Oryctolagus cuniculus: one gene and its partner. The protein of the gene in region 1 purifies or fractionates together with the protein of each later gene. This does not show direct contact. Links are inferred from orthologs where the notes say so. Each region holds a gene or a part of one and is shown on either strand. Other genes may lie near its edges. The genes, in order: SLAMF6 and SH2D1A.

Region 1 (6,063 bases):
TCTTAATGTTCTTATCAATTTTTTGAGATCTGCTTCTTGCAATTCTTCTATGTCATCATCTTCATAATCTTGAATTGGGGTGTCTTTTTCATTTGAGGGCGTCATGGTGACTTCCTTGTTTTTATTACCTCGGTTTTTGCGTTTGTTATTTGGCATATTGGAGATATTTGGTTTCTTCACTGTGGTGCTTTTTCTTGTTATACTATGACTCTAGATTAAGTGGACTATCTGTTTTTGATGGAGCCTTAGGGCTTGAGATGGGTGTGGCCTGAGAGCTCTGTTTGGTGTGCCAAAGGTGACACTCCCAGGTTAGGCGTGGTAAATCTCTCTCTCTCTCTTTCTTTTTTTGATTCAAAAGGGAAGTAATTCCGCACAGCTGAACGAAGTTGGAGGTAGTTAGCAGGCAAATGATATACCCACAGGAGTCAGAGATCGGAAGCTCTTTCCCAAGGACCACACAGGGAATCTGTTCTGCCCTCAGAGTGGGCTCAAATTCTCCTTCAGTCTCCCACTGGGTTGCCAAAGTTACGGAATTGTAGCATCTCTGGAGAGTACTCAGGTGAATTCCTTGAGTTCTCTCCCCCACCGTCTCTTTTTTCACAGTCTCAGTTCAGTAGCACCACAAATTTACTAGGTCCTAATCTCCTGTTAATTCGCCCCGCCCAGAGTCAGGTTTTTCTGCTAGGCTCAGGGCCGGTGCAGACCTGAGGTCGCTCTGCTTATGACGTATGTCCAAGATGGCGCCTGCTCTTTGTCTGGCTCGCCCTTGAGAGGTGAGCGGAGAGAGAGAAACCTGTGTCCGTACCAGTCACCTTTTTTTTTTTTCTCTCTCTCTCTCTTCCAGTTAGCCTGGTGAACTTTTCCCCGCCAGGGGTCGTTCGCTCTAGTCTCCTCTCTCCGCTTGCCTGCCGGTGTCTTGGGCTATTGAGGTTCGGCTCACCTCGCGTTCCAGCGCTGGTGTGTTGAGTCTGCCGCTGGTGTCCCGAACTGTGGGCTCCCACGCTCTCCACGCAGGTCCGCTGTGAATCACGCGTTCTGGAAGAGTTTCTTCTGCTGTTTCCTCCCCTACTCTTCCTTGAACCTGCAGTATCTCCACTTTTATTAAACTGTCTCTCCCCGGACTATCAGTGTGCTCCCTTCCTATTCCGCCATCTTGCCTCTGTCCTCTGAATGGGCTATTACAAAGCGCACTGCGCTTCTTTCTTTGGGAATATTTGAATCTTGTCTCAATGCCCATAACGGATCAGAAATACAGATTTTGATAGCAAAGCAACACTAGTCATGAGTTCTTGTGAGGAAAGTCATTGGCTTTTTCCTTTTTAGAGTTAGACTGTTGGGGTGGGTATAAAAGATAGAGGTCTGTAAAATCTTTCTTTCTTAGACATTTATTTCCTAGTTCTGTAGAAATGGTTTTAACAGATGTTCTCTACCATTTAATACACTTCTGAACCAAAAGATATAAGAGCTGTATAAAATCAACCTATTATGTTAAACTATCATGTTTGCCTTTATTGTGTTTGTCGTTAGCCTGAATAGAAAGTTCTTTAAAATGGATTTTTTAAGAAACCGTTTGAATACAAAAAAAAATTTACACTAAAATAAACACCTTTCAATCGCATTTTCCATGAACTTTCTATTTTGTGTTCCACAACTCCTACTCAGTTAGTTAAGCTTTTTAAATTTTATTTAAGTTATAAAGTTTCATGTATTTCATATATACAGACTTAGGAACATAATGATACTTCCTACCCTACCCTCCCTCCTGCCCATGCTCCAACCCTTCTTTATCCTCCTTTTCCCATTTCCACTCTTACTTTTTATAAAGATGTACTTTGAATTTACTTAATGATTGTAAAGTTAACCCTACACTAAGTAAAGAGTTCAACAAATAGAATGAAGGGAAAAAAAACACTGTTCCTCAACTGAAGAGACAAGGGCTGTAAAAAATCATCAAATCTCAAAATGTCCAATTCACTCCAGTATGTTACATTCTAGGTGCTCTATTATATTAGTTACCTCATATCAGGGAAAACATATGGTAACTGTCTTTTTAGGGCTGGCTTATTTCACTAAGTATAATGGTTTCCAGTTGTGTCCAATTTGTTGCAAAAGACAGGATTTCATTTTTTTAACAGCTGAGTAGTACTCCATAGTGCATATAAACCATAATTTCTTTATCCAGTTAACAGTTGATGGACATCTGGGTTGATTCCATATCTTAGCTATTGTGAATTGAGCTGCAATGAACATGGGAGTACAGATAACTCTTTCATATGCGGGTTTCTTTTGGTTTGGATAAATTTCCAGCAGTGAGATGGCTGGATCATATGGTAGTTCTATATTCAGATTTCTGAGGTATCTCCACACTGTTTTCCACAGCAGCTGTACCAGTTTACATTCCCACCAACAGTGGGAATCCTCGCCAGCATTTGTTGTTTGTCAATTTCTGTATGACAACCATTCTAACTGATCCCCCTTTTTCTCTAAACATAGGGCGACTGAGGAACTTGCAAATTACCAGTCACGTTCAGCTGTCTGAGAATAGGACCTGCGAGATTCACCTGACCTGCTCTGTGGAGAATCCAAATGACAATGCCTGGCTTAGGTGGCAGACCCCAGGAAACACATCTCTAAGTGAACCAAACCTCACTATCTCCTGGGACCCCAGGAACGACAGTGAACACAATTACACCTGCATAGCTGAGACCCCTGCCAACAACTTATCTCTCACTGTGTCTGCCAGGGGCCTCTGTGAAGGTAACAGTCTACCTGAGGTCTCTCTGAGAGCCTAGAGGGGCCATAGGGTACACCATGTCCTCACACCTTGCATGATTGCCAACAGTGGCCCAGTGGGAGGCAGCCAAGCAGTGCTGGGAGGGAACAAACATGCTCTGGAGTCTGTGCTTCTCACCACATAAGCCAGCCGCCAGAGATCTCTGCTCCTTCCTTCCCCACCCTCCCCAGTCTCCAGTTTACTCACAGCCCAAGGGCAAGGTCTTGAAAAGTCTTGACTGCCTTTTACCCTGACTCTTCTGGGCTCGCACTTTGCTCACTCCACACTGCCCAGAGGCCAGAGCCTCGGGCATGGATGAAGTCCCCCAGCCTCCAAAGCAGTCGAGAAGGGGCTCATTGGTGCCTCTGCAGGGGCTAATTGCCTCCCCACTTGTGTCTCATGTTTTACTTCTTTTTTTTCTTTTCAGGTATTTTCAATAAGGAAAATGAACGCTGGGATTTCACATGGATAATAATTATGGCTCCTTTGATATCTATAGTCATCATTGTGGGGATAATTTTCTGGTGTAAAAGAAGAGGCAGGTTTTCTTTCCTCTTATTTGTCTCTTCTCCAAGGTTCCAGGGAATAGAATCTCGGGTCTCCAGTTGCCTAGGACCCCTTGTGGAGGACAGGTGAAGAGGGAAAGATGCACACCCTGGCTGAGCTGGTCCGCTGGGATGACCTGACACCTGCTCTAGCCCGGAAAGGACAGGGCCAGCCTGCCCTTCTTTTGTGACCCCTCCCAACACACTCCCTAGAGAAACACCCACGAGGAGGCAGTGGGGAACCTCTCCCACCACAGTCACACATTTCATATCCTGATTTTATTTTTCAGGTTCCCTTCATTTGTCTACTCAGCAAACCCAGAGTCCTGGTGAGTACCCAGATTCTTAACTAGGAAGAGCTGAATGGAAGAGAAATGGGGGTGACCAAAAGGGCTAGACAATGAGAACACAGCAAATCAGAATGTCCCTGCTCAGACTACAAGTTGCAAGGGGAAATGGCTTGTAATCATGGGACTTCTAGAGTCCCTCATAAGCATGAGGTCCCATCCCTCACACAGTTTGTCCTAGCAAGCTCAGGGCAGCTTCCCACCCTGCATATGGAGACACTCCAGTGCCATAGAAAAAACTTATAGGCTGCCCATTGACACCAGCAAGGGCAGGGCAGGGTCAGGATTCAAGAATCAAATGCCTAAAACCAAACTGCCTGAGTGTATCACTGCTGTTCAGCCAAGGCTTGGGCAGCGGATAGACACAATCAAAAGATAAAACGTGGGGCTGGCACAGTGGCATAGTGGGTGAAGCTGCCGCCTACAGTGCCGGCATCCCATATGGGCGCCAGTTCAAGTCCCAGCTGCCCCACTTCCGATTCAGCTCTCTGCTATGGCCTGGGAAAGCAATAGAAGATGGCCCAAGTCCTTGGGCCCTGCACCCATGTGGGAGACCCGGAAGAAGCTCCTGGCTCCTGGCTTCGGATTGGCCATTGCAGCCAAATGGGGAGTAAACCAGTGGGTGGAAGATCTCTCTCTCTTTCTCTCTCTCTGCCTCTCCTTCTCTCTCTGTGTAACTCTGACTTTCAAGTTAATAAATCAAAGAGGGAGAGAGAGAGAGAGAGAGAGAAACATGGTATTGGTGGGAATGCACACTCCTGGCATGGATTGGCTTTGAGTCACCTTTCATGGCTGAGAGATACCTGACATCTCACACCAAAGAAATAGATTTGGAGTCAGGTAGTCAGAAGACATGCATTTGAGTTCCTGTTCTGCTACCTCCTGTGTGACCGTGCAGAAATCATTTGAGTTTTCTGAGCCTGCCATTCCTCATCTCTAAAATAACCAACTCCACCTTAAGGCCCTCTGAGAACTTTGATGATATCACATATGTGGAATAATTGGCTGCATTATGTTTACCAATGTAGTATCTCCATCTCATCTGTAGGCCCAGGAGCTCTCTGGCCACTCAGGGAGATGCCCCAAGACCACCTCCCCCCCCCAACAGATGAAGTCAGAAATAGACCTCATGAACAAGAGTTTTCTCCAGATTATTGAGCAAATGAACTCTCTAAGGAAGGACAATACCTTGAACATTGTCTCTGTGCACAGGAAGTGCTCTGGGGAAGGCAAAGTCCTAGGGAGAGACATCAAGATGCCTTCTGCCACTGACTGTGCCTTCTTGTACTTACAGTAGAGTCCATGTGGAACTTAGAGTACACTTCGGGATCTCCAGGGAGCACTGTGTATGCACAGGTCACTCATCCAAGCCGGGTGAGTCTTTTCAGCTTTATATTCCATAACTGTCACTGTTTTTACAGTCATCCCTCACACACTCATCACCATAATCACCTGACTATTCCAAATGACATTCACCAATGAGGGGAAAAGAAGGCAGCAAAGAGGCTGCAAAGTCTTGTACTAGACCAGTCTAGGATCAGCCGCTCTTGCCCTTGAGGGAATGTTTATTCCTACCCTGCTGCAACTCTGCGCTCCAACTGCTTAATGCATCGTTAAGTCTTGTCTCCTCAGCGCAGTGGCAAGCTGCCTGAAACTACAAATGAAGTCTTTGTCTCTCTTCCCCTGTAGGATACTCAGCCAGTGCTTGCTGAGCCGATCAGAGTTCCATTGAGAGTTTCCAAGGGAGGCAGTTCTGTAGTAGAGGGCTTCTTCCTCTGGATGTAGGGATATTAGGTAAGGTCAGAAGAACTCTGCCAAGAGGGAAAGAAGGGCAAGAATGTACAACCTTCCACAATAGGGGACACAAAAGCCATGAGCAGCCCTCAATTCTCCCCTCTCCTCTAGCAACACAACAAGATGGGCTTGGTCAGGCATCAGGAACTCCTCTGTTATGCATCAACCACCACCTCCCCTAAATAAAGCACCTGCAGGTGGCATATTTCTAAATAACACTGCACATCTTGGGGGGCCAGTTCTTGTGATTTCTGAAAAATAAACCAAGGAAACATCTCCAAATGATGGAAGCAATAATCCAGATAGAAATCTGGGGATTTCCCAAGCAAATCTTCACTCGCACAGTCCTGCACAGGTATTTGCAAAGCGGGCTCCTTGCAAAGAGAGGACAAGAAGGGATACTCTCACCTGTTTACTGATCTTTCCACATTTCTCTTGACAACAAGCCAAATCACTCTCTAACAATCCAAGAAACTGAACTCCAACACATTTGTTAGCTGCTTCTTTAGTTTAAAAAGTATACTTTGGAGAGTTTCTGAGGTCTTAACAATTCTCTCAATGTTCCTTAATTAATATAAACTGTTAAAATTTATGAGATTTGGGC
Region 2 (6,680 bases), on another chromosome or scaffold:
CCCTCTGCAGCACAGTGTGCCGATCACCCTAACAATCTCATAAAACTTTGAAGCCAGAGTGTACCAATCAAAAGACACAGTAGGGAACTCCCAATTTGCCTACTATTTTCTGTGGCTTCACGAGGAGGCTTTCATGGAGACCCAAGAGTCATACAAACTACATTTACACATTTGAGAATTGAATTTCCCTCCTGTTTAAATTCATCCCTTGTATGGTTCTGGCCTATGTGGGCAAAAGGCTACACTTGTCCTTCTCTCTGCATATTTCACTTTCAGCAAACTTGCAGAAGACATGCATTACTATTCCTGTTTTATAAACATGGAAACTAAGGCCTAGAGAATATGAGTGACTCCTCTGGAGCCCCCCTCCTAGCCTCCTGATGACAGATTAAGGCTCTTCCCCCCCACAATGCATGCACAGATTTATTTATCTATTTGAAAGTCAGAGTCACAGGGAGAAAGGGAGAGGAAGGGAGAAGAGGGAGGGAGAAGAGGGAGGGAGGGTGGGAGGGATTGACTGATCTTCCATCAGCTGATTCACTCCCCGGGTAGATGAATAGCCAGGGCTGGGCCAGAAGCCAGGAGCTTCATCTGAATCTCCCACATGGGTGCAGAGGCCCAAACGCCTGTGCCATCTTCTGCTGCTTTTACCAGGGAGCTAGATTGGAAGTGGAGCAGCCGGGACACAAACTGGCGCCCCTTCAGGATACTGGCATTGCAGGCATTGGCTTTACCCATCTCACCAAAACGCAAGCCCCTGGATCAAGGCTCTTCGCAGTAAAAAACAGAATTTCCTTCTATAGTTCACTGGTTGGTTAATTCAGAAATATTTTTTGAGTGCCTATCTATGCACCAGGCTATATTCCTGGGGCTGGAGATGAAGACCCTTGCCCTCACGGAGATTACATTTTTTCTATTTATTTATTTATTTTATTTATTTATTTTTTGACAGGCAGAGTGACAGTGAGAGAGAGACAGACAGAGAGAAAGGTCTTCCTTTTTCCGTTGGTTCACCCACCAAGTGGCCGCTATGGCCGGCACGCTGCACCACCCTGAAGCCAGGAGCCAGATGCTTCCTCCTGGTCTCCCATGCGGGTGCAAGGACCCAAGGACTTGGGCCATCCTCCACTGCCCTCCCGGGCCACAGCAGAGAGCTGGACTGGAAGAGGAGCAACCAGGACAGAATCTGGTGCCCCGACCGGGACTAGAACCAGGGGTGCCAGTGCCGCAGGTGGAGGATTAACCTAGTGAGCCGCGGTGCCAGCCGAGATTACATTTTTCTAGAAGATCCCAGCAATACAGTTAAGTAAACATGCAAATGTCAGGCCTTTAAAGCTCCTTGAAGAAAAATAAAGAGCACGTAAGTGGGAGAGGTAGAGGGCATTCAGTCTAGATAGGGTGGCCAGAGAAGGCCTCGCTGAAGGAAGAGTCAGTTGCCTAAACATGTAAATCAAATTTTTGCAGAAGGAGCATTAAGGGCAAAAACCCTAAATAGGAAGCATACTCAGTGAGCTTAAGAAATGGCCAGGAGGCCAGCAAAAATGAAGCCTTAATGTACGTAGCCACACACTGTCCCCCGCTCTCCCAACCCCTGCCCAGGCTTCTTTTGTGCCTTCCTCTTTACCGCTAAGCTAAGAAGCACATTACCTCCTTGGCTAGCTTCCCTAAAGCAGCCCCCTCAACCCTCCCACTCACTCCCCTACCTTCTTTTGATAATGAAAGAGTCTATCTATAAAGAAACAACAAATGCTTGCAGGAGATTGACATGTTTATCTAGATTTGAACATTACATGACGTATGCACGTATCAAAACATCAATGGAGCCCCATGAATATGTACAATTTTCATATATCAGTTAAATTTTTAAATTTTTTTTAAATTAAAAAGAAAAGCGCCTAAGAATCCTAGTTGGCTTTCACCACCCTCTCCTGGTTTCACTCAGGAAGCACAGTAATATCAGGAAAACATGAAACTGCAAGCTCAAGAGATTCAGTAACTTGTGTGCATCTCCTTTGCAGTCCTTATGATGAATGTATTTAGTACAATCTCAGAACTACTACTAACAAACCTTGGCCATTTTTAAAAACCAATATACAATCAATGTATCATCAATACTGAACTGACTGACTACCAAGCGTTAGCCCTTATTTTGTTTCTGTCTAGAACCTAACGTAGAGTGCTGGTGTTTCCATGGGTGATTTTATCCTGGTGATGACAATGCTTCAGCTAGGTCCTTCCCAGGAGTGTTAAAAGTAATCAACTGAAAGAGAAGATTGATTGTAATAATACCAATATCTTATTTCTACTGAACACTTACTATGTGTTAGGTTCAGTGTTAATTTTTTACATGCATTACAGCACGGAACCTTCACAGTTCTGTGAGGTGGGTAATACCCATTGAATGGATGCAGAAACTGAAAGACCAAGACATTAATTTGCCAAGGCCACACACCTGGCTTCTGACCAGCACAGGGTTTCGCTCTCACAGCTGTCTGCCTCTGGAGCCCTGGAACAAAGATGCAGGTGCATCTGATTCAAAATGGGGCATTTAGACCCAGACACGCCTAGACAAAGGCAAAGCTGAATCATGACGAGGGTGTTTTCCCGCCACACCCTTTACCACTATCGGTCCTAGCTTTCATAGAGGAGGGTCTTATTTTTAAAACCTCCTGTCCCCCACACACCTCCTCTAAAAGAAGCTAAATAAGCTGATCCAGAGCAGCAGTTTTACTCACACACACCCCATCTCTGCGTCCTGACCCAACTGGTGGCCGCATTCTGAAAGTAATGGACTCTGCCCTTTAGTCTGCCTCCTCTCCCTGAATTTGGTATTCTTCCTTTGGGATGACACTTCCAAACCATCTCAAGAGAGGCCTTTCCTTCTCTCCAGAGCTGGGGGCCCCAAATCTGATTGGCCCATCATTCCAGGACTCCATCTTGCTGGCCTCAGTTGGAAGTCAAGACGGAAGCCAGGAGCCCGAGTCTCAAAGCAAAGGTAAATTCTAGGCCATGCTTCCCCATATCCTCAAGGCTACATTCTGCAGCTGCCCAGAAAGTCCCTGGCGAGGTCCTCCTGGAGAGGCGGCAGCCAGGGAATGAAATCCCCAGGAAGACACTCGGCCAAAGTGGGAGCTGAACAGGAAATCTTGCGGCCATGGAGAGGAGATCTTAATGAACAACTGCCACCCGCATCCCTGCCCCCAGGCCCCCCGTGCCCACTGCCCACACTCTGCGCCGCCACAGCCATAACGTACTCACAGCACACAAAGGCAATACACGCCCGGGACACTCTCACTGTCCCTCAGCAAATAGCTGCCGTCCAGCCCGGTGGCGAGCAGGAGCTTCTCCCCGGTTTCCCTGCTGATTTTGCCATGATACACAGCCACCGCATCCATTGCCTAGGAGACTCTGGGGCAGGCCGAGGTTTGCAGATGGTACTTGGGAGATGCAGCTGCTGCAGCCAGGCACAAGTCAGCCACCTGACTCCCAGTTCAGCTAAATGTGCAAAAAGAAAGAGAAGCACCGGAACAACAGGATGTTGTCTACCTGCCTAAAAACCTCCCTCTCACACTTCAATTAAAACCAGCTCAGCAACTTAGCCGCTTGGTTCTATCAAACTTGTCACCGGGTGTGGTCCCCACCCCCCAACCAACATAGGGTTCCTACAAAGAGTGCAACCTTGGAAAACGGACTTTGCACGATTTGGGCTGTACTGCCAATGCAGACTCTCACCCACTGACAAGAGTGCTTGGTAATGCTTCGATTCTTGCATTTTCCCCCCTGGGGCCACCGGGAATGACTTAGCTTACCCGATCTTCAAAGGAGTTGATAGAGGCAGCGTGTCATGCGGGGCTGAAACCTACTGAAGACGGAAGGACTAAAAGCTCTGAAACCAAAGCACCGAAACGGCACCTTCTATATGCAATTACTACTGATCATGGCCATGAGACTCCTGCAGAATCAGATGAAGCAGGTGAACAATAGACTTTGGGCAAGTTCCTCTCTCTCAGCTCCTAACTCAGATAGTCATCTTGAACGATCCTGGTCCTAAGTAAATACTGATTTTTTTTCTAGCACCTTGTCTAGGATCCCAATGTGCTGGAGGAGGTACAAAAATCCCAGTGTATGTCCAAAGGTATTCCAGATTTGTCTATTTGCTGGGCCCTGGAATGAAGCCAAATCATTTAACTGGGTCTTCATCATTACATGGATTTGTCTATGCCCTTTGGTGTGTAGGGCCCGCTTTTCAGGATTTCAGCCATAAAACTTGTTTTACAACATTTTGTGCATGTTGATAATTGTGTGGTAACTTTTATTCTGTTGTTTCTAGAGAATGGCTTCTTCTTCAATTGATGTTAAGCTGTCATTAATTTTTTAAAAGCCTTCAGCCTACATTTTCTTCTCTGAAATAAAGCATTGCTTCTATTTCAAATAGTGATAAGTAATATTTCCCAAAAACTTCCTCCATTTTTGCTAGACATCGTTTAATGCCTGGAACTCAACAGTCTTACACATGTCACGTTAGATTATGTAAAATACTTTTAGAATTGGAATACAAAGAGCTGAAGCTATGTTGTCTGTTGTATTCCTTTCACCACTTCACCACCTACTTTTCTGAGAATGCGTCTGGGCTGGGAACTCTCTTGGGAGGACATTTAAACCCTCATATCTTAACCAATGAATTGGATGCTCAGAGCCAAAGATGGTTATTTTCCCTCCAACTATGAGGGTTAAGGACAATCCTTTTGGCCAGCACCACGGCTCAATAGGCTAAATCCTCCGCCTGCAGGGCTGGCACATGGGGTTCTAGTCCCGGTTGGGGCGCCGGATTCTGTCCCAGTTGCCCCTCTTCCAGTCCAACTCTCTGCTATGGCCCGGGAGTGCAGTGGAGGATGGCCCAAGTCATTGGGCCCTGCACCCCATGGGAGACCAGGAGAAGCACCTGACTCCTGGCTTTAGATCAGCTCAATGTGCCGACTGCAGTGCGCCGGCCGTGGCAGCCTTTGGAGGGTGAACCAACGGCAAAAGGAAGACCTTTCTCTCTGTCTCTCTCTCACTGTCCATTCTGCCTGTCAAAAAAAAAAAAAAAAAAAAAAAAAAAAAGGACAATCCTTTAAGATTTCAGTGGTAGCCAGCAACAGCTCTCCTTGGTGGAAGAATGCCCAGCCATAGTAGCTGAAATATAAGTCTCCTTCATTTCTTTTCACATTTTAGAGACTTTAACGATTTTTAATTAGTTTTTTACAGATTGAACGTGCTTTGTAGACACAAACATAATATTCTCTTCCTTTTTGAGGTAACATTTTAAATTTATGTTACAGTGAAAACGCTTAATACTAAGTTTAGCAAGTAAAAAGTAAAAAAGACCCTAGTTTAGTGGGAATATAAACAACAGCTATAAATATTTGAATGGAAAAATGGTCATTTCACCCATATACAGTAAATTTTAAAGCAATCACAGATCATTAAAACTATAGTAGTATAGCTTTTTTAAAAAAAATTATTTGGCAGTCAGAGTTACACAGAGAAGGGGAGACAGAGACAGAGAGAGAATCTTCCATCTGCTGTTTCACTCCCCCACTGGCCACAACAGCTGGAGCTGTGCCAATCGGAAGCCAGGAGCTTCTTCTGGGTCTCCCACACGGGTACAGGGGCCCAAGTACATGGGCTATTTTCTACTGCTTTCCCAGGCCATAGCAGAGAACTGGATGGGAATTGGAGCAGCCAGGACTTGAACTGGTGCCCATATGGGATGCCGGCACTACAGGTGGTGGCTTTACCTGCTACAACACAGCGCCAGCCCCTGGACTCTGTATTTTGAATGTGCAAAAGATTATCCCAGAGAAACTAATCACAATGGTGGAATTTCAAATATGAAAGAAGACAGGGGAGGGGAACCCCTTATATAAGCCCATATGGACAACAGCCCACCTGTGAAGTAAACTGTGAGAACATTTGGTGTGACACAGATTAAAAACAAAATGTAACTTTTCTTTTTTGTCTCTAAACAATTTTGACAAATCATCCACACACTTGGGAACAGAGCAACCTGGATTTGACAGGACAAGTGTACCATACGTACTTCTTTTCTTTCTCTGTTTTGTTCCATGTTGCTAAAATAGCACTCCTGTCAAAGCAGCCAGGTATGATAGGGTTCAGCACAACTAAAATCACATTTTAAAAAAACGGCGGATAAATTATAAGGTAATAGTACAGCTCTCACATCCAATACCTCATTGTCATTTCACAAGCAAGCTGACAGCCAAACCAGCCCACTAGTGTAGTGTTGATGAAAAATACTGACATCGTCACTCTAGTGCTACACACTGAGCTTAAAGTGTAGAAAAAAAGAGGAACTGAAATGGCTGGCTTCCTTATCTCTCCCCAGAGAGGAAAGGGGAAAAATGAAAGAGGAGAGCAATGGAGATAGTGGGAAGTGCCAACAGAGTAATAGGAACAATGGGTTCCAGGTACAAAATATATACCACTTAGGAGCAAAATCGTCTGTTTATTGTCTCTATAAGGTCCAAGGTGGCAGGATTTGCGTTCACCACTGTATCTTCCTTGTCTGACACATGGTAGATGCTACATATGTTGAGTAATGATTTAAATTAATGCTCTTAAGGAAATAAGGTAAAACATGGGCTAGCATTGTAGCACATCGGTTTAAGCCACTACTT

Evidence for each region.
Region 2: the proteins of SLAMF6 (region 1) and SH2D1A purify together in Homo sapiens (co-immunoprecipitation; 5 studies listed by BioGRID and IntAct, with this or other methods). This does not show direct contact. The link is inferred for Oryctolagus cuniculus from reciprocal best matches to the Homo sapiens genes SLAMF6 and SH2D1A.

What each region holds. Positions count from the first base shown.
Region 1 is NC_091438.1:38,417,722-38,423,784, forward strand, and holds part of SLAMF6 (SLAM family member 6), read left to right. Parts: intron 1-2,493; coding exon 2,494-2,757; intron 2,758-3,200; coding exon 3,201-3,311; intron 3,312-3,608; coding exon 3,609-3,647; intron 3,648-4,959; coding exon 4,960-5,039; intron 5,040-6,063. UniProt on the Homo sapiens protein: Self-ligand receptor of the signaling lymphocytic activation molecule (SLAM) family.
Region 2 is NC_091453.1:102,132,940-102,139,619, reverse strand, and holds the start of SH2D1A (SH2 domain-containing protein 1A), read right to left. Parts: upstream 3,903-6,680; 5' UTR 3,810-3,902; intron 3,598-3,809; exon of another isoform or gene 3,496-3,597; 5' UTR 3,396-3,495; coding exon 3,259-3,395; intron 1-3,258.